4 linked regions of the Drosophila melanogaster genome follow. The gene in region 3 interacts genetically with the main gene of each other region. Each region holds a gene or a part of one and is shown on either strand. Other genes may lie near its edges. The genes, in order: bam, twin, nanos and l(3)mbt.

What was found.
Region 1: of nanos (region 3) and bam, changing one suppresses a phenotype caused by changing the other (phenotypic suppression), as found in Drosophila melanogaster (one study listed by BioGRID).
Region 2: of nanos (region 3) and twin, changing one enhances a phenotype caused by changing the other (phenotypic enhancement), as found in Drosophila melanogaster (one study listed by BioGRID).
Region 4: of nanos (region 3) and l(3)mbt, changing one suppresses a phenotype caused by changing the other (phenotypic suppression), as found in Drosophila melanogaster (2 studies listed by BioGRID).

What each region holds. Positions count from the first base shown.
Region 1 is NT_033777.3:25,242,531-25,246,647, reverse strand, and holds bam (bag of marbles), read left to right. Parts: upstream 1-1,538; 5' UTR 1,539-1,671; coding exon 1,672-2,159; intron 2,160-2,223; coding exon 2,224-2,594; intron 2,595-2,655; coding exon 2,656-3,125; 3' UTR 3,126-3,609; downstream 3,610-4,117. Other genes in the region: RpS27 (ribosomal protein S27), read left to right, coding at 1-200, 267-295; CG11854 (uncharacterized protein), read right to left, coding at 3,634-3,938, 4,001-4,117. UniProt on the Drosophila melanogaster protein: Regulatory component of a deubiquitinase complex consisting of bam and otu. The complex deubiquitinates K63-linked polyubiquitinated proteins, antagonizing the ubiquitination activity of Traf6 and regulating the IMD immune signaling pathway.
Region 2 is NT_033777.3:24,217,884-24,222,861, forward strand, and holds the start of twin (twin), read right to left. Parts: upstream 3,002-4,978; 5' UTR 2,965-3,001; coding exon 2,945-2,964; intron 2,681-2,944; coding exon 2,649-2,680; intron 2,461-2,648; coding exon 2,332-2,460; intron 2,269-2,331; coding exon 2,082-2,268; intron 1,893-2,081; coding exon 1,717-1,892; intron 836-1,716; exon of another isoform or gene 577-835; coding exon of another isoform or gene 1-576. Other genes in the region: CG17786 (uncharacterized protein), read right to left, coding at 1-576; cav (caravaggio), read left to right, coding at 4,025-4,042, 4,460-4,591, 4,653-4,978.
Region 3 is NT_033777.3:19,155,481-19,160,723, reverse strand, and holds nanos (nanos), read right to left. Parts: upstream 3,487-5,243; 5' UTR 3,224-3,486; coding exon 2,752-3,223; intron 2,209-2,751; coding exon 1,739-2,208; intron 1,666-1,738; coding exon 1,402-1,665; 3' UTR 1,115-1,401; coding exon of another isoform or gene 1,019-1,114; 3' UTR 522-1,018; downstream 1-521. Other genes in the region: Nsun5 (Nop2/Sun-like domain containing protein 5), read left to right, coding at 61-491; CG11779 (uncharacterized protein), read left to right, coding at 1,019-1,114, 4,178-4,258, 4,322-4,859, 4,927-5,243. UniProt on the Drosophila melanogaster protein: Maternal RNA-binding protein that is required for germ cells proliferation and self-renewal. Acts by forming a complex with pum and brat that regulates translation and mRNA stability.
Region 4 is NT_033777.3:27,267,258-27,275,238, reverse strand, and holds the start of l(3)mbt (lethal (3) malignant brain tumor), read left to right. Parts: upstream 1-1,965; 5' UTR 1,966-2,228; intron 2,229-2,297; 5' UTR 2,298-2,398; intron 2,399-3,042; 5' UTR 3,043-3,465; coding exon 3,466-4,096; intron 4,097-4,865; coding exon 4,866-6,470; intron 6,471-6,538; coding exon 6,539-7,981. Other genes in the region: CG5934 (uncharacterized protein), read right to left, coding at 924-1,276, 1,354-1,408.

The sequences.
Region 1 (4,117 bases), 6.1 Mb from region 3:
CCCTCTGCCCGCCGAGGAGAAGCGCAAGCACAAGCTGAAGCGCCTGGTCCAGCACCCCAACTCGTACTTCATGGACGTGAAGTGCCCCGGCTGCTACAGGATCACCACCGTCTTCAGCCACGCCCAAGGCGTCGTGGTCTGCGCTGGATGCGCTACCATTTTGTGCCAGCCGACTGGAGGACGCGCCAAGCTGACAGAAGGTATGCTCCAAATGCTCACTGTCCAATGTTCCTTCGCAATTAACCCAAACGATGTCTTTCTTTCAGGCTGCTCCTTCCGCAGGAAGCCACAGTAAAATGGGACTCGCGATGAACCACAAATTATTAATTTTTTAATAAAAACTCTAAAACGTAAAGAAACCACAGAACCCATACGAGAGAAAGCTTGTAATTCAATTGCTGCGGTCCTTTGGTTCATTGTGCTTTGTGAATTAAAGAATTAACGATGTTGTGGTCGGCTAAGTGAAAAAAAAAACAGTTCTTGTCGTATTTGTTTATAGAAAGTGGATAATTGCCAACAGGATAGATAGTGGAGCTCAATCGCTGGGGTTCCCCGATAAGAAACCGCCCATAATGGAAGCTCTTGTGTGTGCAAATACCCTTGTGCGGCAAAACTTCAGGAATTTTTCACTAGTTATGCTTAGATCTAACCATTGATTAACTTCACAACAATAAAGAATGTTTCATAGGCTCTAAATCGAGATTTTGTGAGGCTTCTAATGATTGGGCATTCAGCATTTTTTCAAGAATTTTGTAACCGACTCAAAAAATCTTTAGAATGGTTGGTTATTCGGATCGCATATACTTAGCTTGTTTGTCTTATTTTTATTTGGATGAGCGCCAAAATTTTGCTGCGTCAGTCTGGAAAAAATTGAATCAAATGTGTATAGTTTTATAGAAGTTGGGAAGCGGAATTTATTTATTTATTTAAATATTTATAATTAAAAAAATGAAAATAGTCACGTTGTTTAACTAGTCAGTATTCGAACCAACAAATGTAAAATGTATACTGGTTTGTGTCTAAGCTAAGCTTGTCATATTAACGGAGCTGCCAGATGTTAGGAAGTGGGGATGCCATACATTATTCTAAATTTGCGCGCAATTTTAGAAGCTTATCGTCGTCAGAATTACAAAAACAAATTGAATATGAAAATGGGTTATTGCTACTTCATTATTATTGTCACGATATATGATAATTTATACAAAATGTGATAAATCCCAAATTGTTAAATAATGCTTTGGCTTGCTTTATACAAAACCACTAGATAATTAAAATATAGGTGGCCTAAATTGTTGCATGTTGTTTTATAATTAATCAGCAATTTGATTTGGTTGTGATCGACCAAATCAGTGTGTATAATTGTAGTTAAAATGTAAAGTTCGTAATGGATTATTGAATCGCATTTCAAATTTCTTTAAATGCGCCCGGGTCAATGACCTTTTGAGGTGACCATAAATTGAAACTTATTTGTGCGACGGCAACCCTGTTCTGGGACTCGACATGATATCGATACGTTAACAACAAAGAGTCTGGACGCCATCATTCTTCCTCTTTCTCCTGAATTCGCAGACAGCGTGGCGTCAGGCATTTCAAACGGTAAAAAGAACCTGGCGATAAGGAAAGATTTAAAAGGCAAAAATCGAGTGATTTGTGTGATTTAACTTAAGAATAATGCTTAATGCACGTGACGTGTGTCCTGAGGGCAACGACGACCAGCAGTTGGACCACAATTTTAAGCAGATGGAGGAGCATTTGGCCTTAATGGTGGAAGGCAATGAAAACGAAGATCCGAGGAAAGCCACTTGTGAGTACGAGGATACGAACGAAGATGGTGCAACCTGCACATCGGGCGTTTTATCCGAAATCCAGGAGAACTTCGGTAGACTCCGGTTGTGTGACGTTACTGCACCACTCCTCGAATTCCACGGTTTGGATTGCTTGCAACAGATTCAAAAGCGCTCGCGCCATTTTGCATTCGACGGTTCTCCGGCCAAGAAGTCGCGATCCGGAGGCGTGTTGGTCACCGGGCCAAAGCAGAAGCAACTGCAGAAGGAAAATGTGTGGAACCGGAAGAGTAAAGGCTCTGCGTCCGCGGATAATATTGAGAAACTGCCCATAACTATTGAGAAACTGCATATGATTGGTCTGCACGGCGATTGGTGAGTCTTCTGGAGTATATCCCAAATATATCACATAATAAAAAGCTCCTTATCTAAACAATAGCTTAGAGCACAACGCCGTGCTGCGTTTGATGAATCTGTTCAGATCCCTGCATGATCACCTGACCGCCGATTTGGGCTTCTCGCGCCAAAACTCAATGCCCTCGGACTATCTGTTCGATATGCCGGTGAAGAGCACGATGCCTAAGAGCTTGAATGTGCGCTACCAACTGCAGGTGCTGTGCACCAAAGTAGAGCGCTTCCTTGTCCAGCAGCGCCGCACCTTGGAGGCGAATCGCCACTTCGATTTCGAGAAATACGACGAGTGTGACAAGTTGCTTAAGGGTTTCGCATCCTATTTGGACAACTTCAAACTGCTTTTAAAGCCCAAAATGCGCAATCGAAACGGAAACTCGGGGAGCAATGCGGACAAGTGTAAGCTGTAGATTTGCAAGCAACCATTCAGCTATTCCTGCAACGATTTTATTATTTACAGTCCATACTCAGCGCATGGAGAGATTGCTAATTGGTCTGCGCGATTGGATCAAGGCTGCGCATCTCAGTGTGCACGTATTTAACTGGGAAATGGATCTGGAGCACCGCTACTCCGGGGCCATGACCGAAAGCCACAAGTCGTTGAACGAGCGGGCCATCCTTTTGTCCGGTGCCGAGCTAAGGGCGGCCGAAGCGCGTGGAATCAGTGCGGAGGATCTGTTCATCGCCCAGAGATACAAACTGGGAGGTCCGATCTATTGCGTTCTGGAGCAGCATGAGTTCCTCTCCGCTCTGATCGCCAATCCAGAGACCTATTTCCCGCCCAGTGTTGTCGCCATTTGCGGGCCACAGAAGCTTGGCGCAGTGAGCATGGAGCAGCCGTCAGCGTCGGAGGAGGAGTTTGAGGAGACCGAGGAAGTGCCATCATCGCCACCTCGTCACACCGGACGTGTACCTCGCTTCAGAAGCTAAACTAATGCTGTGCACATCGATAAAAGAATGACAGCAAATATGCAATTTAAAAAAGCTACTCTTCTCATGGGAAGCAATAATTTCGTAAAGTAAACATATCTATAGTGTAAGATATATTTGTCCAATAGTGCGGACTCCATATTTGTATTCGTGAATAAGCTTATATAAGCTTTTTAAAAATATTTATCAAATCGATACAAACAAAATCAAAATGAAAACGATTTATTACCCCTGTTTTGAGATTGATAACAAATTTATATAAGTTTAACTGTGTTTACATTTATTTGGCAAAACTACAAATGTGTTTGCTTTTCACTTTTATAAATCTGTATTTTACTTAAACTTTAGAAATAAGAAATCCTTTAGTGCCTGAATTTATTTTGCAACTACGTTTTATTTGTATGAGGAACTTACCAGTTTTTCTTATTTGCTTTGCATTTGTATTTTGAAAGTCAAATAAATATTTACGATTTGTGTTTGGACTAATTAGGGTGTTTGTACTAAGGTCTTAGACTACAAAGAGCTGTTCGAGCGGCAGTTTGCCAAAGATCCTGTCCACCACCGACTTGGCTATCAGTCCGAAGGCCTCGCCAATGCCCGGTTTCAGTTCATTGAAGATGTCCTTCCAGTTCTCATTGATAAGCGCGTGCATGTTCTCGCTGAGATCTTTCTGGCCGTTGAACAGATTTTCCAGCTGGTAGGTCACATGGGATGGATCCAGCTCAACCTTTATGTTCATCACCTCGGCGTAGGTTTGATGATCGCCCTTGGAGACGCGCTTCAATTTGATCTGTGCACGTACCTTTGTTCTAGCTGCGAATTCCAGAAACACATTAAAAATTTTAGATTTCAAAGCTGTGGGAGGCAAATCTTACTGAGGCGTATGTCAGCAATGCCATTTCCGGTGATGGGCAGAATGAGTATTCTTCCGTCCACCGAGTAGGGTCCTCTGACTCCTATTTCTGGAACTTCCATGACCAGCTCGATGGAGC
Region 2 (4,978 bases), 5.1 Mb from region 3:
ATTCTGATAGCGAAGGGCTCGAGATTTGTCAGCCAACTTGAAAGCAGGCTGACTGCTCATCGGCTGGTAGCCACTCCAGTTGTTGGTCACAGGATGATGGTGATGTAGTGGCTGGTGGTGCTGCATCTGCTGTTGCTGGAGATGGTGCTTGCCATTCTGCTGGAGCAGCGGCATGCCCTGGGCATGCACAGCCAGCTGGGACATAGTGGCCCCTCCAGGTGGCCAAGTTGGACATGTTTTAAGGGCGGATTTCCTCAGCAATCTCTGTCGCTGGGCTGGCGACAAGTGACTGGAGGCATTCGAGATGAGCGGTATGCCGGCGCACTCATTGATCCGCTGCTGATTAACCACTCCATAGCCAACTGGTTGAGGTGGTTGGCCAGCCGACTGAGCTGCCCAATTGGGCGGTGGTGCAGACGGCGGACCATGATGCAACCTGTACACAGGAGCTGGATGCTGGCTACCCGGCCAATGGCTCAACGGATGCTGGTGGTATCGCAAGGACGCGTAGTTGGGCGGCGGTGGTGGTGGTGCTGCTGATTCTGGCGCCCTGTAAACGGCCACATGCGATCTCATACTGTTTTTGTCTTAGTCCCAAACTGAATCCTGTCGGCGGATCGAGTCGATTGCACATCACTTGGCCGCTTGGTTAGATTATTCGACTTGAGCGAGCCACCTTTCAGAGAGGCATTTCGGTTGGCCAACAGTCGAGCGATTCCACCGCAACGAAATGAAAAGCGAACGCCAAGAAACTGGGACACAACGCGATCGCAATTACGAAACACACGGCGCATGCGCGACGCTCGCGAACGGGTTTCCAGCTGAAGAGAGACTGAGGAGCAGAGTGGAGCTAGTGCGTCCGCCTCGTAGCCAAGCGAGCGGCAGACTGAAGTCAGCTGCTAACGCGATCGACAGCGAAGCCCGGCTAACAGTAAAAGCCGTTAAGACAAGTCTCTCTCTCTCTCTTTCTCTTTCTCTCTCTGTCTCTTACGTTCCACATTGGGTCCACACGAACACTCTGACGCTCAGCCACCGGCTCTCTTTTTTGGGCCAACTTGCATCGGAGAGCAGCATCTCTTGGCTTTTGCATGTCGAGGTCGTGCAGTTCTTTTGGCCAAGTCCGCCAATTGTTGTAATTGTTGCATTCAATTAGACATTTTTAATTGATGCGCGGGCATTATGTTTTTTGGCATTAATGGGCAGCCGTGAGTTTGAACTTTAATTATGGCTTTGGCAACAGGTTTTATGACCTATCCTGGTGCGGAAAAACATTAGCTAACAAACTGCGTTTGAAAATGGACGAATAAATATATATTTCTGCTGTTACAACCCTACTATATATAAATACATCGAAATCGTTTTTGATCCCCAAAAACAAAATTTTCCAACATGCCCTAAACTTCCTAATAAATATATATTTTGAGCAGTTACATAAAGAATTTTTGCTGATAACACATGGAAAGATTATCTCCTACTTTAAGCTTCCTTTTTTTTATCAATAAAATCCCATCAAGCCCAGTAAGATAGTTAAAATACCCTTGAGTCCGTAGTTTCTTCGAAAACTTTCTCTTTTCGGAAGCCTTTTTTCGCGTGCTTTCCTTTTTACCCCAAACATGCACACACGCAGCCAGACACACACCTGGTCAGGAGCTGCTCACGCACCGGGCGCGCGCACACACATACTCAGGGATTTAGATAGACATGGGGGGGACTCACATGACAAGTTGTCCAGCATGTAGGTGAGCAGTTTCTGCGTGCCGTTCGGTTCGTTGTAGATGTTCATGAACTCCTTTTGCAGCGGATTGCCCATGAGGCCGAGTATGACGAGGTGGAACAGCTTGCCGATCTCGTAAGGCAGTACGCGCAGAAAGTTGTTGTTCAGCAACAGCTCCCTAAAAGGAGGCAAGACAATGGAGTGGCTTAGTGAAAAGCATGGATCAGTGATCAATAGGGTCTGCGCCCAGACAGCGATTTCACAATAGATCAACTGCTAAGGGTGCAATAGAGTATGAGACATAATAATAGGACTAAAATACGATTTAACAACGTAAATCATGTCCTATGCCAACCCACAAACTCACCGCAACTGGATGAGCTCGCCGAGCTCTGCGGGAAGACTTCTTAGCTTATTGCTGGACAGGTCCAAAGTTCGGAGGCTGGTCAGCATGCCAACGTCTGCGGGCAATCGCAGCAGCTGGTTGTCGTTCAGGTAGAGGGCGGTTAGATGCTCAAATTCCCACAGCGACGGGCTGATATTGCGGACGCAGCCTGTAAACAGATGTATGGTAGAATTAATATGATATTTTTCGGGATTAAGTGTGTGATACCCACCAGTAATCTCTAGGCCACTCCAGTTCGTCTTCTTGCCCGCAGCTATGTCCTCCTGCGACAGAAAGATCTGCTGCCGCCGATTGGCGCTGTCGTATTTGTCTTTGTTACGAGACATTTTATAATGATTGCCTGTTCGGTATATATAGAAGAGAGTTATATTAATATATGTATAAGGTAAGAGATAACAAGTTAAAATCTGGAATTGTTTCAAGGAAGTTAGGGCTCATGTTAGGAGACAAAACCTCGCTTAGCAACAAAAATGAATGCTTTGAGTTTTAGCTTAAATGTATCTAGGAGTATTGGAATCAAATCATAACCTTTCATAATAACCGCCTGATGATAAGCGTCTCTGCAAAATATTAATAAAGTGGTTTCCATTATTATTTTGTATTAGTAAACAAAGGTGGGTCTGAGGTCCGGGTTTGGTTTACATATACAGCTAAGGTAAAACTAATAGCAGTTCTTAAACATTATTAATTAAAATTTAAGTACAAGGTAAAAGGTCGATATGGAAAATACCGCCAAACTCAATAGTTGGAGGATTTTAGGAAAAATCTTTATATTTTATTAATAAATAGCATTGGATATGTATTTTGGAACGTTGTCTATGCACCTTTTTTTAAAGATACACATATTAGGCTTTAAAGAACTGCTATTGGCTTTCGCACAGCTGCGGATGGTAAATTGTAAATCATAAATAAATGCAAACGAAAATGATTTTGGTAAGCGCGCGCAAAGTGCAAGCACCAACACACACGCACACACACGGACGCGTAGCACACACAGAAACACTATACAGTTAGAAAGAAGAATGGCGTGGGCGGGCAAAACAAGAAGAAGAAGGAAAGCCGTATGTCGCATATTGAAAATCGTGGGTATCAGGAACCTGTGTAGGATTACCTGGCTCAGTTCACTATTCCTAGGAAGTCACCTCAATCGGAAATTCTGGCTCAAATTTACTCGCCGTCTCTCCTCGTTTCGCGCGCTCTTTTCGCTCTCCGCCTGCACTTACTCGAGGATTTTGAAAGAAAAAGGAAGCCGCAGCTGGGGATTCAGCAATATTCGATATTCACTGTGAAATTTAACCGACTTCTACCGTTTTTGGTGCCTTTATTTGGGTCCTATATTTGTTATTTTATTATTTTGCTGCTTTTCGTTCGTGTTTGTCGGAACAGAAGCGACGATTCTGCTAATCAACCTATTCGTTTTGGATCGCTCTTTCTTCTGCTGGGCCTCTGCTTTTCATTTATTTATCACGCGACTCGCTTTCATCGTCGGTTCTTGTTTTTGTATACATGGTGAGCAGTCGGAGTTGCCACTCGGTTTTATCAGCGGACGGTATCACGGCAAGATTTGTCCAAAATGCGTGCTTATTCGTCCAACTGAAGTCCGGCCTAGTGTTCTGATAAAGTGTGAGACAACGTTTGTTTGTAAAAAGAACTACTCAAATGGGATTTCAGTCAAAACAAAACAAGAGCACATCACACACAAGACGCACACATACACACAAGACGCACACGCACACAGATGGTCAAAGAGGTGCAGGGCTGAAAATAAAAACACGTAGATATTTCGTACTGTTTGCTTTACTAGCCACTTTTTTCGGTCAATGCTTTTTGCTGAGGACTCGGCTTTCGACGCGATATATTTTATGTAGTTTAGATCTCTGGATGGACGATTTATTTGTGAATTTATGCTGCTGCTACTATGTGTAAACTTTCGTTCTTCGCTTTCCTTCGTTTTCCATTTCTCTTTTGTGCGCTGGTTTGGCGTACGCGGAAATGCCCACTTGCTGTTAATCGGCTATCGGAAAGAATTTGCAAGCAGGGGCTCCAACTAGCGTATTGAGAAAGTAGCTATATTTTGTATGACAGTTAAGACCCCTGTTTTTTGAATTGATATTTTTTATAGGATTGAAATCAGGAGCTTTGAATTATTAATTTGTAAAATAAAATGAGTTTATTTTGACAGCAAACGAAAATACTTAGCTAGAATCGAGCTAAACCATTAAAATCTGTAAATACTGACTAATCGATAACCTTACAGAGTTTCGATAGATCCATTAGCCGCGAATGCCCTTAAAAAGTTGTAATTTATTTAATTTAATGTTGCGTGTTTTTAAAAAAAGGTTAATATGTCGGGGACGCAAATGTCTGCCTTCCTGAGAAAGTATCTAGCCGACGAGGACAAAAAAATTCGTGCGCAATTCAAAGAAAGCGATCCTAACAACAAATTGATTCTATGGATGCACGAAAAAACGGTAAGACGCATTTCATTTTGTAAATTGAAATTGTATATTGTATAGTATCCTGTATTTGAAGAGAATAACCGAGGAGGACTTGGCACGCCCATACACCGAGGACGAGGTAAAGGAGCTTTGTCTACGCACCAAAGTGAAGGTTGATATGACCGCTTGGAATTGTCTGTGGGAAGCCAAAAAGAGGTTTGAAGCAAAAGGACGTTTTGTGAACAAGTCTGAGAGATTCATCAACCGAATGTATATGAAAGCGGTGCGCAGAAAGATGGTCCAACCGTATCCGGAGGAGTTTGTGGCCCAGCGAAGAGAAATAGTTGCAGCCGAGACTAAGAAGCAGAACATCAGCCGATTGGATAGATGGCAAAAGAAAAAGAGTCAAAACCTATCAGC
Region 3 (5,243 bases):
AGTTTTATATTTATATATTTCACAATGAATATTTAAAAAAGTAACACGTTTGAATTTCAGCACCCGAACGCTTTCCGGACGTAGAGTACATCCTGGTGGACCCTAGTTGCTCTGGCAGCGGAATGCAAAACCGCATGACCGTGTGCGACGAGCCGAAGGAGGACAAGCGGCTGCAAAAGCTGCAGGGTTTGCAAATTAAGATCCTGTCGCACGCGATGGGCGCCTTTCCGAACGTCAAACGCATTGCCTACTGCACGTGTTCGCTGTGGAAGGAGGAAAACGAGCAGGTGGTGCAGCGTTGTCTTCAGCTAAATCCATCCTTCAAGCTGCTCAGCTGCAAGAAGGCCTTGCGCAACAAGTGGCACAATGTGGGCGACAAGGACTATCCCAATATTGGCAAGAACGTCCTGTATTGCCAGCCGGACAGTGATCTTACCGATGGCATCTTCCTGGCCCTTTTCGAGAAACGCCGCGAGGGCGAAAAGGATTAGTTGTTTCAAACGCAAGAAGGACATTTGTTTCCTTAAATTGTAACCATTTCTTTATTTGGCACTCGAGCCATTGAATTTTTCATTTTCAGAATATGTGTACACATTTTTTAAAAAAATAAAAAAATTATATAATGCTGGCGGTTGTTTCATGTGTGAAAAATTGATCAATGGTAAACAAAATTGAATAAATATATAACATATATATATATATATATATATATATATATATATATATATATAGATATGTGTGTTGAAATGAATACTTGCGATACATGTAATAAAAATACTCTTCGCTTATCTATCAAAAAGTGCGGAATGTCAAAATTTAAAATTTTACAATGAATGCGTAGCCGACGACGAAAGTGTTCCTTGCTATTTCCTTTAGCAAGATTTAAATTTAGATTAAATTCTAATGATACGATTGACAGTTCGAAATTCAAAGTGTTCCTTTTTCAAAATTTAGTAAAGATTGTAGATCAATTGTAGATATATCGAAATTTTTCGGCCGCAAGCGAACATTTTACGAAATGAAGGCGACCAGTTGCAGACCAATTCCATTCATCAACTTTCGGATTGTAAGATATTTCTATCGGCCACGACGATTGAACAAGTATTACGATATTGTAAGTCTTCTTTAACAAAATTAGTTTCCCTTTCACAGAAACAGACATAAATTCTTGAATTATTGACTTGGATTTGAGTGATCGTTCGTTGTCTATACTATAAGATCTATAGGCACGGGATAACGCTCTAAATCTCTTTAAAATCGAACGCGCCAGGCGCTATTTAAACGTTACTATCTATCTATCTGGTTAACCCAGCTTTGATCGGAATGCGTATATATATTTCATGTTATATAAACGCTGCAAAAGCTGCCAGAGCCTCTGCTCCAGAGCTGGATTCGCCCTCTCTAAACCTTCATCTGTTGCTTGTAGTAACTGCTCTTGGCTAGGCGGAACGATTCCGCCTTGATCGCATCCTCCATGGTGATGATCGGCTTCTTGGGGCAGTACTTAATCGTGTGCGCCGAGTCCCCAGATGCCCCGCAGATGGGGCACACGTAGGTGCGTAGTTTGGGGCACAGCACTCGGTTAAAGTTATCTCGCACTGAGTGGCTATTGATAACCGCCTCTGGTTCGTTGTTATTCTCACAAAAGACGCAGTGGCGGCTGATCTGTTGGAGAAACAAGATAACAAATATATTTTGCAAGTTTTAATTCTGCGAATCCTGGATCAGATCCACTCACCTCTTTGGCCTTGCTGTTGTAACGCTTGTACACCTTGTTGTTGTTGTTATTATTGTTACTGGAATTGGAAGCTCCGCGCAGCTGTTCGCCCTGCACGGGCAATCCCAGACCCATTCCCACGCCGAGATTGGTGGACACAGTGGCCGCTGTTTGGGCCTGCAAACCCATTGTATTGGGAGCGGCTGGTATATACGACATGTTTCGCCACACGTTGTTCAGATGCTCCCGGTAGTTGTTCAGCCAGTGGGTGGCGAGTGGAATGGGCATTAAGTTGCCGCCATTGGTCTGCAGCTGGGCAGGATTGCGGCCCAGTGGCAGGTGCAGCCCCTGCTGTTGCTGATGCTGCTGCTGCGGTGGCATTTGCACCTGTGGCGGAGCACTCCCGTAGGACATGCGACCGAGATCATCGCTGGCATAGCCATTGGTCGCGAACTCCTGCATCACATCCTGCATCGAGCCAGCCGCATTTTCTGGGAATAGCAAGCTTTTCATTACCTTGTCCTGAACGTATTTTTTTTATTATTCGCGTTTCAATTGCATTTCAGAAATGTAATAAGCAAATACGGATTAGTTTTTGCATACAAAAAAAAAACAAGAACAGACGAGAAAAAGCAAAGAACTTCTAGAAAATGTAAGACGCAAAATGGCTTTCCGAAGTTAAAACAAAAAGGAATAGCGAAAATGCTAAGGTCAATGGCCGAAAATTCAGGGGCGCTCGAAAAACCTCTTGAAGGGGATACAAGTGTTGGGCAAAGATATATTTTAAAGCACATACAAAATAGTAAAATAAAAAATATACTACACTAAATGGCGAAAATCCTCTGACCTCTGCAGCAATTATACATTTACACAATTTTACTTCTGTTTTGCTCTGTGCTTTCGTTGCCCCTTTAACTAAGCCCATGGCCATTGACTTTGGCATAACTGTACTTGTACAGATAGTCATCTCGCTCCCGCGCACTGTTTTTGGCTATTCTGTTTTAAACGACGCCATATTCGCCATTTCTTCTTACCTGCTGCGCCCGTCGTCACCTGCGCAAAGATTTTCAAGGATCGCGCAATCTCGTCCGTTTGCTGGTGACTCGCACTAGCCGCTGCCGCTGATGCAGCCAGCGCCAATTGGTGCTGCGCCATGGCCAGTTGCTGCTGCTGCTGGAGCAGCAAGTGGTAGTGGTACTGTCGCTGCATAAGGAGCGAATTGGCGGTGGCTGCGCTGTCGGCCAGAAAAGGGAAGTGCGTCGACTGCGCAGACGTCGACGGGTCAGGGGTCACCGGCGTAATGGGCGGACTCAAAGTGGCCGACGAGTTGGCCCCACTGGTATCCAAATACATGTCCTGCAGGCCCAGAATGTTGAGCCCTCCTCTGGCGTGAAAAGCAGAAAAGTTATCCTGCAATTGGAAAATCTTTCCAGACTGAGCCAACGAGGGGGGATTTGCAACACCTACTGCTGCTGCGCCACTGCCCTCCAAGTTGCTGCGGAACATGGCGAAAATCCGGGTCGAAAGTTACGGTTATCGCGCACTCTACTTTCCACAAATCCTCACCCAAAAACCAAGCACAGTTTATTCAACTGAAGTATTCGCGATACTTCTTTATCTAATAATAATGTACATGTAACTAAACTCGCTTTTGGGTTAAAATCGTGACGCAGAGGCAAAAAAAATCGTATGTCCCTTAGACAACTTGAAACAACTGCGAAGCGTACGGCAATTCCAGGAATTTTGTGGTAAAGCTACGCGCCAACTAACGGTTCTTGCTTAGAGGTGGAATAATGTAGTTTTCCAGCGATAATAAATATATCGATATTTTTAGTAAAATTGAAAAGGTAAACTTAATTTTAGAAAATAATTTATAAGAAATTTAATAGTATGCAAAATAATTTTTACTTGCTAAGAATATGTGCCACTAATTAAAAGCTGGACACCGCGCAATGGAAAATAGTACTACAACACAGCAACAAAGCCTGAGTTATCAACAAAAAAATACGAAAACATCTCCCAAAACTAAGCACCCACACGCGCCACTCGCCGTCACAACACAATCACTGCACACCACCATTCGAATTTCGCGCACTGTGACAACATCACATGATATCGGCGCGGCAACATCGGATTACCGACAAAACGAACTATCGCACGAGCCACCGCCGGCGAAGAGCGCTCGTTTTGCAACACCGGCGCGCGCTGAACGAAGAGAACAGCTGACTGCTTGATACGTGCGTGTTTCGCGGCAGGAATTACATAAAGTTTAGAGCCTCTGACGCCAGACCCCCCGAACATTCGCTCCGATCAAACTACCTGCGAACGGTCACCTAATCCCCACCATGGTAGGTTACCTCTGATCCCGGTCATCACTGGCGTTCGCTCACATCCGTCCTTACATGTGCATATTTCGAGGTTAAAACGGTCGAAGCTTTCAATGATTTTTTCTCCTTGCAGTACAGAATAGCTGCCCTTGTGCGGGATCGCGCCTGTCTCTTCACGTGCCAGCAGGCCTCGCAGAACCTGCAGCAGCAGCAGGTTAGAGTTTGGCTCATAAAACCCCATGGCGCAACCGGCCTAAGTCATGACTTTACTCCGCAGCCCCGCTTTTATAGTGCGCCAGGTCGCAGGGCCGGCTTCTTCTCGCAGTTCTTCGACAACATGAAGGCGGAGATGGATAAGAACAAGGAGATCAAGGACAATATCCGAAAGTTCCGTGAGGAGGCCCAGAAGCTGGAAGAATCGGATGCCCTGAAATCGGCGCGGCAAAAGTTTAACATTGTCGAATCGGAGGCGCAAAAGTCGTCTAGCATGCTAAAGGAGCAGCTGGGCGCCATCAAGGAGCGCGTAGGCGATGTTCTGGAGGACGCCAGCAAATCCCACCTGGCCAAAAAGGTTACCGAGGAGCTCTCGAAGAAGGCTAGGGGGGTCAGCGACACGATCTCCGACACCAGTGGCAAGCTGGGCCAGACCAGCGCATTCCAGGCTATCTCTAACACGACGACGACCATCAAGAAGGAGATGGACAGCGCGAGCATAGAGAATCGTGTCTATCGTGCTCCTGCCAAGTTGCGAAAGCGCGTCCAGCTCGTCATGAGCGATAGTGATCGCGTTGTGGAGCCCAACACGGAAGCCACTGGTGAGTCTCCATCTTTTTCCTTCAATAAGATCAAAGGTCATGGCCATAATGTAATGTTACTTTTCAGGTATGGAGCTGCACAAGGACTCCAAGTTCTACGAGTCGTGGGAGAACTTCAAGAACAACAATACCTACGTGAACAAGGTGCTTGACTGGAAGGTTAAATACGACGAGTCCGAGAACCCTGTTATTCGTGCCTCCCGCCTGCTGACCGATAAAGTGTCCGACGTCATGGGTGGACTCTTTTCAAAGACAGAGCTTTCGGAAACGATGACGGAGCTGGTGAAAATCGATCCGAGCTTTGATCAGAAGGATTTCCTCCGCGATTGCGAAACGGACATCATTCCAAATATTCTGGAATCGATTGTCCGTGGGGATCTGGAG
Region 4 (7,981 bases), 8.1 Mb from region 3:
CTGCACTTTGTTGTTGCTTTTATCCACAATTGCGAGCGGGAGGGGAAGATACAAAATAGAAACTGCAAATACAAAGGAAGGCCAACTAAATGTTTGCGTTCCATTAATGGCCACTAAAATTGGAATTTCCTACTCAAACAAACATTGTTAAAAGCAAAAACCACAGCGCAAATGTTTTGTTTTTCCCCACACACACACAGCTAGAGCACCAAGTCACACACACACACCTTGCAGTGTATTTCGCAATCACTTTTGTTGCACGTTCAACTGTTCTGGTGTAAGCACGATCACTTTTCTTGTTTTTCCTATAGTTTTGGACTGGTTTTAAAATGTTCCGAGCAGAGACTACGACTTATACACGCTTTCTACGTTATTCGAATACGAAAAGTCACTGCTCAATTTGTTGTTGCACGACCACGACGAACAGCTGGCCGACCAAAGTTGCCAGGCCGTTGTGTAGGTAGGCAGTTCAAAATTTTCAAATAAAATGTGAGCAGGTGTTTTTCTAATAATTGCTAAGATTTATACAAATAAATACATTTTATTATTTAATTAAAAATGTCACTCTGTTGTAAGTTTTGCAATTCGATCATGGCTATTTAGTAAAGCGACCTCTAAAAGCAGCTGGATTGGCAGTGCTGCCATCCCGTTTTCCTTTTCAAATTCTTAAATTGCGTGGGGTATTATTGATTTATTAATTATCTATATAAATTAATTACTTCTATGTATAAAATACATAGCGCGCCATAAGCTTAAGCCTAAACAAATACAAATTCGACAATCGGGCAACTGAAATAACATTGCAATAGCTTAATTTCGAGTGTTACAGATTAAAATATACATGTAGCTCTAGCGTGAACGAGAAGGCATATTTGAGAAGGTTTTTGGTTTCCAGTACCGGTGGGTCGATTGACTATAGAAGATTACTTCTTTTTGGCCGCACTGGGACTGGTGGACTGGAACACCGATGAGGCCGACATCAGGTTCTCGATGTACTGGCCGAGCACCTGGTTCTCGGAGCGCAGCTTCAGATTTTCCTCCTTGACGGAATCGACGCGTTGCGACAGGTCGTCCAGGGTGTTCTGCAGCTCCAGGACCTGTGTGATGAGGCGGGCCTTCTCCTCCCGATCGTCCTGGGCCATTTCCATGGCCTCCAGCGAATTGTGCGATGAATCTGGCGTGGAACTGCGGTTGGTGAACGATGAACGCAACGAGTCCATGGACCTCCCACTGGGCATTCGTCCCGTCGCCGGTGGCTCGTCGTCCGGAATGACCACTGCGTTTTTGGGGGGGATTAGCAATTGATAACATCATCACTCGGGACTCCACCCACTCCCTCCAGTTTTCACTTACCCTGTGGATCCTCGTCCATGTTGGGAATGCTGTCGTCATTGTTTAACAGGGACATGGCTGGCAGTGTTCAGGGGTACTCTTTATTCTATAAAACTTAAACTCTATTCACTTTTGCCAAATTTCTCTTAACAATTGACACGAAAATAAAACTACCCTTTGGGAAGTTGGCCAACACTAGCTGCTGGCGCTGCCGTTGTTTAGTATGAGCGGCGTTTTCCAGTACTAACAGAAGTTTAAGGAGAAGAAGAAGAAGCTGTATTTTGTAATCTTTGAAGCAATTAAATATTGATAAAGTTGCTAAGTTAATGTGCGGTTTTAAATATATACAACTATTCAGAGGACAAACTCTTTTCGTTAAAATTGTTCCGAGAAGGTAAAAAGCTCTGTTGGATATTGCGAAATTTTCCTCTGCACTTATTTTACAATATCAGGTACATGTAAAGCCATCGCTTGATATTAATTTAAGCATTTAAGGCTGCTAAGTAGCGTATTTCCAAAACAGTTAACACCAAACAAGAAAGGCTTCGTTTATTTACCATTTTATTTCCGCCTTTTCAAAATAACCGACATCGGGCGCACACGAATCGGCAACCAGAGTTGCCACCTGAGCCGTTCGATCATAGAAATTAAAATACACACATGCTTTTGCAGTTTTTAATATTGTTGAACGACAGAACGCTTCCGTTTCGATGGCACTGCGTAATGTTTCGAGCTGCTTTAGTTGGCTTACCTGGTGAAAAATGTGCTTAAATTGTTAAGATTTTCCGCCCGATTTCGCTGGCCATTCGTTTTTGCCTGCATTTACGAGGTCGAACGAGCAGTAACACCCTCGCAGCAACAAACTGCAGTTCAATCGAATCATACGGTTAAAGCAGGTAAGCCTACATATCCTGGCCCACCTTTCGACACTCGCGACCTGACTTTCTGAACTTCTATCATTCCAGCCGTGTTCGGCAAGCCAACAGCATCCCGATATCCTGGTTTCCGCCTCCTCCGCGGCTGTACATTTCATTTCGCTCCGCGGGCAAAAACGAATCGCGTGCGGGTAAGTCAACAGTTGGATCCTGGCAGCGGAACCTGTAGACTCTCTGAAAGTGAAAAATGAAGACGCATTCCATGGGCCCTAGACCAAATTCCCTGGCCAGTGGTTCATCCGAACCAAGATAAGAGGTTTCAGTTATTGTGACATTGGGTGGGCTGCTACGTAACATGGGGCTGGGAGATCGGATCGGTTTAGCCATCAAGGGCTCGTAAATGTGGTCGTGAGATGGGATTCAAAGCCCAGAGGAGCTATTTTTAGGTTCTAGTCGTTTTTGAGATAACATAAATCTTTGGGCAGCATAACTAAAAATGGTATCAAAATTCAATATACGTGCAGTGTGGCCGTACTGGGGCAACGAGGTTTTGCCCAATGGCCGCGGGTAAATTGTAAAAACAAAAAAAAAAAAAAAGCAAGCGCAATAAACAGAAATATTAAGGTAGGATAACACAGGTATTGTAACTAATGACTTTAAGCTGCTAGATATTTCCCTTTTTATTGGGACAGATGGCGATTGGCTATTAACAGCGAATATGCATACAAGTTGCAAAGCAACTGCTACCTGCTAGCTATTTTCTGATTACCATGCTTTTGCAGCTTTAAAATCCTTATATAGCATCCAAAACTAAATCCAACTTAACCTTTTTCAGGTAATAACAAACCCAAAGTAACCGTAAATATTTAAAACTAATTCGCAATCTGTGCATTTAAATACCAAATGTTGGTATATTATCAGAACCGAGAAACACGAACAATGAGAGCAAGGAAACGCGCGAAACAATAACTTTAATTCAAAAACTTAACAATTTCTGCGATTTTGATTAAGAGAAAAGTGATTGATGAATATACGGATATAAAGCACAAATCGCGCGATCGAGAACATAACAAATTGCCAAATAGTTTTGTGAAAAGGGGGAATACAAAAAAATACTAACGCCGGTGTGGAGTGTAAAATGCCAAAAACTTTTGTGCGCCTCAACGTACAAACATTGTAAAGACAAGAATATAACTTCGATTTCCGCTGGTTAAAAAAGAAATCAAAAATCCATAGCTCTAAGCATAAACGGCTCAAAATGCTGCCATTGTCGATGGCCAGTGCGGAGGCCAAGCAGCTCCAGCGCAATATATCATTGTCCATGTCGCCAGCGAATGGAGGAGTCATCTCACCATCTACCGCGAATTGCAATGGTGTTGCCTCTGCCTCCGGCGGAAATCCAAATCCCAACAGCCTCCTCACACTAGCTCCGCGCAAGGAGGAGCTACGCTTCCTGCCCCTGGCGCCCATGGGCGGCAACAAGACCTGCAACATCACCATCAGCAATGTCCAGCCAATGAAATCCAAACTAAAGTCGGTCAACATAGTGCCAAATTCCATAAAGTCCGCTGGAGCTGGCGCCACTGTCGGATCAGCAGATGCTCCCCTGTTCCAGCTGGTGCCATCGCCCAGTAATCCCAGCCAACCGTTGGTGGCCATTCTGGCCCCCAATCGCAAGACCACGCTGCTTGGCGGAGGTGCATCCAATGGCCAACCGGTGGTCATACGCTCCGGAACACCTTTGCACAAGAACAGCCTGACCGTTGAGACCAGCAACAAGCCCATCCAGCCAGGAGGATCGGCTGCAGCAGCCGCCGTTGGAGGCGGAACTGGAGGAGCACCTTTAACGCTCGTGGGCAAAACGGTCGTTCCACCGAAAATACAAGCGGGTAAGTGTAGGGTTTCGGTTTCCCCTTCTTCCGAGTTATGTAAGTTATGAGTTACAAGTGGGTTTCCCCAGTCTGAGAGGAAGAGGAAGAACAGATCCCCCAGATCCGAGGCCAGTCGGAAAATGGGAAACACTCTTGCAAAAGTGTGCGTGTGTGTGTGTGTGTGCGCGAGTGTGTGTGTGAGTGTGCGTGTGGGGTGCGGGGCAATCTTTATAGTTTACTTTCGTTGTTCACATCAGTCTGCGGGTTTAGTTTTTAGTTGTTGTTCGACGGCTGCACATTTCATAACACCAATTTAATAGGGTTTGTGTTCGTGTGCCATTTTCGGAAAATAAGTTCCAAGCATCGAATTGGGTGGGTGCCATGTTCCATGACTGGGTCGGTACGAATTGGAGAAGCAACACGAAGAACTTATTGCTATTTCCAATATATATGATGTATATATGCTGGTTTTATCAATAGCAGTATGCAAAAGGCGGGGTGCCAGCGAGAACAACAACAACAACAACAGCACCAGCAAAGCGACACTGATGATGACGATCAGGTTTTTGCAGCTGCAATAAGAGGAGAAGATTTTGGATCAGCACTGTCAGAGCGCAGTCGATCGGTGCGGTGAGGGTGCGGCGGTGCGGGGATCGGGTTCGGGTTCGGGTTCAATGGAGGATCCAATCGGATTGCCTTCGGGTGACTAATTAAAGAAAATTCAAAGCTAATTCGTGTTTCTCTATCTTTCTTTATTTCTGCTCTCCATTTGGATGCAACCGTACAGCGACACCTGTCCAGATTCCCAGCACGGGTCCGGGTGCGCAGGTATCCCTGCTGGCCAATCCCCTCAAGCCACGTGCTCCACTCATACTCAGCAAGGTGGCGGTGGATAAGCTGCGTCTAAAGTTCAGCCAGGTCAAGAGCAACCCAAATGCACTCGTTCTCGGCAAGGCCAATCATGTGAAGAAACTTCTGACATCGCCGAACCCCAGTGGAGAGGATAAGACCAGGAGCACCCAGAAAAACAACAAACAGAATACTAGTGCCAGCCAACTGAAGCCAGTTGTGGCACCCAAAACGGCTATGCCCATTGCCACGGAGGTGCCGACCGCCGATAACAACAAAATGAGCCTAATTAAGTCCAAGCCCGTGGCCATCAAGGCAGTGCCGCTGCCCAGCCAGGAAGCGCCCATTGTGCCGGCAGTGGCGCCAGTTGTTACATCTCCAGAGAAGGTCGACGTTAAGCCCACTGCAAAGCCCTCAATCAAGACAGCACCCAAACCAACTCCTAAACCTCTGGAGATGTCCGTAAATGGACCAGCCAAGGAGAAAAAGGCGCCTGCCAAGGAGCAGAAACAGAAGACAATGGACAAACCACCGGTGGTCAAGGAAATCGCTCAACATACGCCATGTGGGCCCAAGGAATTGCCCAAACTAAAGCGGTCGAAATCCTTCGTGTCCAACCATCCCGCTTCGCCTGTGGCCAACAACGAGCGACGTCACTCGGTGGCCATTATGGCCAAGGAGGTGGATGTGATCGAGCAGCCCAGTGCGGCAATCGAGACCATCACCATTGAAGACGATGATGAGAGCGAGGAAGAGCAGCAGAAGCCGGAAATTAAGAAGACGCCGAAGCAGAATCAGAAGCCGGAAAAGCAGGAGGCGCCGAAGAAGAAGCAGATCCCCATGCCCATTCTGCCCGCAGGAATAACCATTTCCACCACCAGTACGGCCAAGAAAAAGGCCGTGAGAAAGAACTCCTCCGTGACGACAATCTCTTCTAGTTCCAGCGACAGTTCGTCCTACAGCGATGTGGAGGTGGTACCGACCAAGAAAACCGAGAAGGAACTCAGTATGCTGCCTGGCATAAGCATCATCAAGGCGGAATCTCTGCCACTGAGCAGGGAGGACTTTGAACGCTCGTTGCGTTGCGATGAGCAGGTGCCCCAAACTCCGCCCAAGTCATCCTCCTCATCCTCGAGCGGCTCTCACGCATCGGAAATGTCGCCGCCGCCCAAACTCGCCGATCCGAAGCCATCAAGTCCACCTGCAAAGAATGCCAAGAAAGCCAACGACCATGATGCGAACCCATCTCCTAGCAGCAAGACCAATGACTTTAAAAAGAGCATGATGCAGAACCTGAACATGTTGAAATGGCGCGGCCAGCAGCCGGCCAACCTGCAGAACTCCACCGTCCGGTTCGAGCTGAATGAGTTCAATTTTCTGCAGATAAACGAACGCTGCCAGCCACGCCAGGGTCCAGCTGCATATTTCGAGCGGCCTTTGTATGATCGTCCGGGCCGCAGGCCCTCGGCCTGCGTCCATCCGCTGCTGTACTTGTGCCAGCGTTGCAATTTCCACGGACCCGCCGCCGACTTTCTGGCACCACGTGAGTAAAGAGAGCAGCTACCAAAGTCCCCAAACTCTATATATATTATATATTATTTTCTCCTACAGATTTCTGCTCCGTTGGCTGTGTGCGTCGATCCCAGAAGCGTCGTCTGCCGCAGAGTACGCAGAAGGAGAGCAAGATAAGCCGTACCCAACTAGAGCAAACAGCTGGAACAGCGCCAGATTTGCCACAAAAGCGGCAAACCAACTACAAACCACACAAATCTCTGTCTGCCATACAGGAACAGCTGCAGCAACGTCAAAAGGATAAGCCCAGAAAGCCATTCCGCTGGAGCGAGTACCTCAAGTCAAAGGGAAAGGATGTGGCAGCGCCCATCCACCTGTTCCTCAATCCGTTCCCCATCAGTCCCAACTGCTTCGAGATCGGCATGAAGCTAGAGGCCATCGATCCGGAGAACTGCTCGCTCTTCTGTGTCTGCAGCATTGTCGAGGTGCGCGGCTATCGGCTGAAGCTTAGCTTCGATGGCTACTCCTCCATGTACGACTTCTGGGTGAACGCCGACTCGCAGGACATCTTTCCGCCAGGCTGGTGCGATGAGACAGCACGCGTTCTGCAGGCGCCTAAGGACTACAACTCGGAGCGCTTCAGTTGGAGCCGCTATTTGGTGAAAACGGGCGGCAAGGCAGCTCCGCGGGCGCTCTTTGGTCATCTGAATATGCAGCAGCAGATGGATGTGCGCAACGGCTTCGCTGTGGGCATGCATCTCGAGGCGGAGGACCTGAACGATACGGGAAAGATTTGTGTGGCCACAGTGACGGATATTCTGGACGAGCGCATTCGAGTCCACTTCGACGGCTGGGATGACTGCTACGACCTGTGGGTACACATCACCTCACCGTACATCCATCCCTGCGGTTGGCACGAGGGACGCCAGCAGTTGATCGTTCCGCCGGACTACCAGAAGTCTGCCTTCATTTGGGATGACTACATATCAGAGGTTGGTGGAATGGCCGCCTCCAAGGAGCTGTTCACACCACGCCAGCCAATGGAGTACCAGGAACGCATGAAACTGGAGGTGGTGGACCAGCGTAATCCCTGCCTAATTCGTCCGGCCACCGTGGTGACGCGGAAGGGTTACCGGGTTCAGCTGCACCTGGACTGCTGGCCCACGGAGTACTACTTCTGGCTGGAGGACGACAGTCCCGATCTGCACCCCATCGGCTGGTGCGAGGCCACCTCGCACGAACTGGAAACCCCGCCTGGCTATCTTCAGCCCAAGTCCGTGATGCCTTGCGATGTGGAGGGATGTCGGGGATTTGGCAACGCCAAGCGCTTCAACCTCAACGTGCATGCTTTGCGGGAATGCTGTCCGTATGCGCCGGAAAATTGGCGTCAGTGGCGCTCCAAAACGGTGAAACCGCCGCGTGTGGCCCCCGAGAATATCAGACGTGGATGGGCGAAGAAAACAAAGCGTGCCTGTTCGGAGGCCAAGCAAGCCATTAAGGAGGACTCCCAACAAGAGATTGTCTACCCGAAGGTCGCGGAAG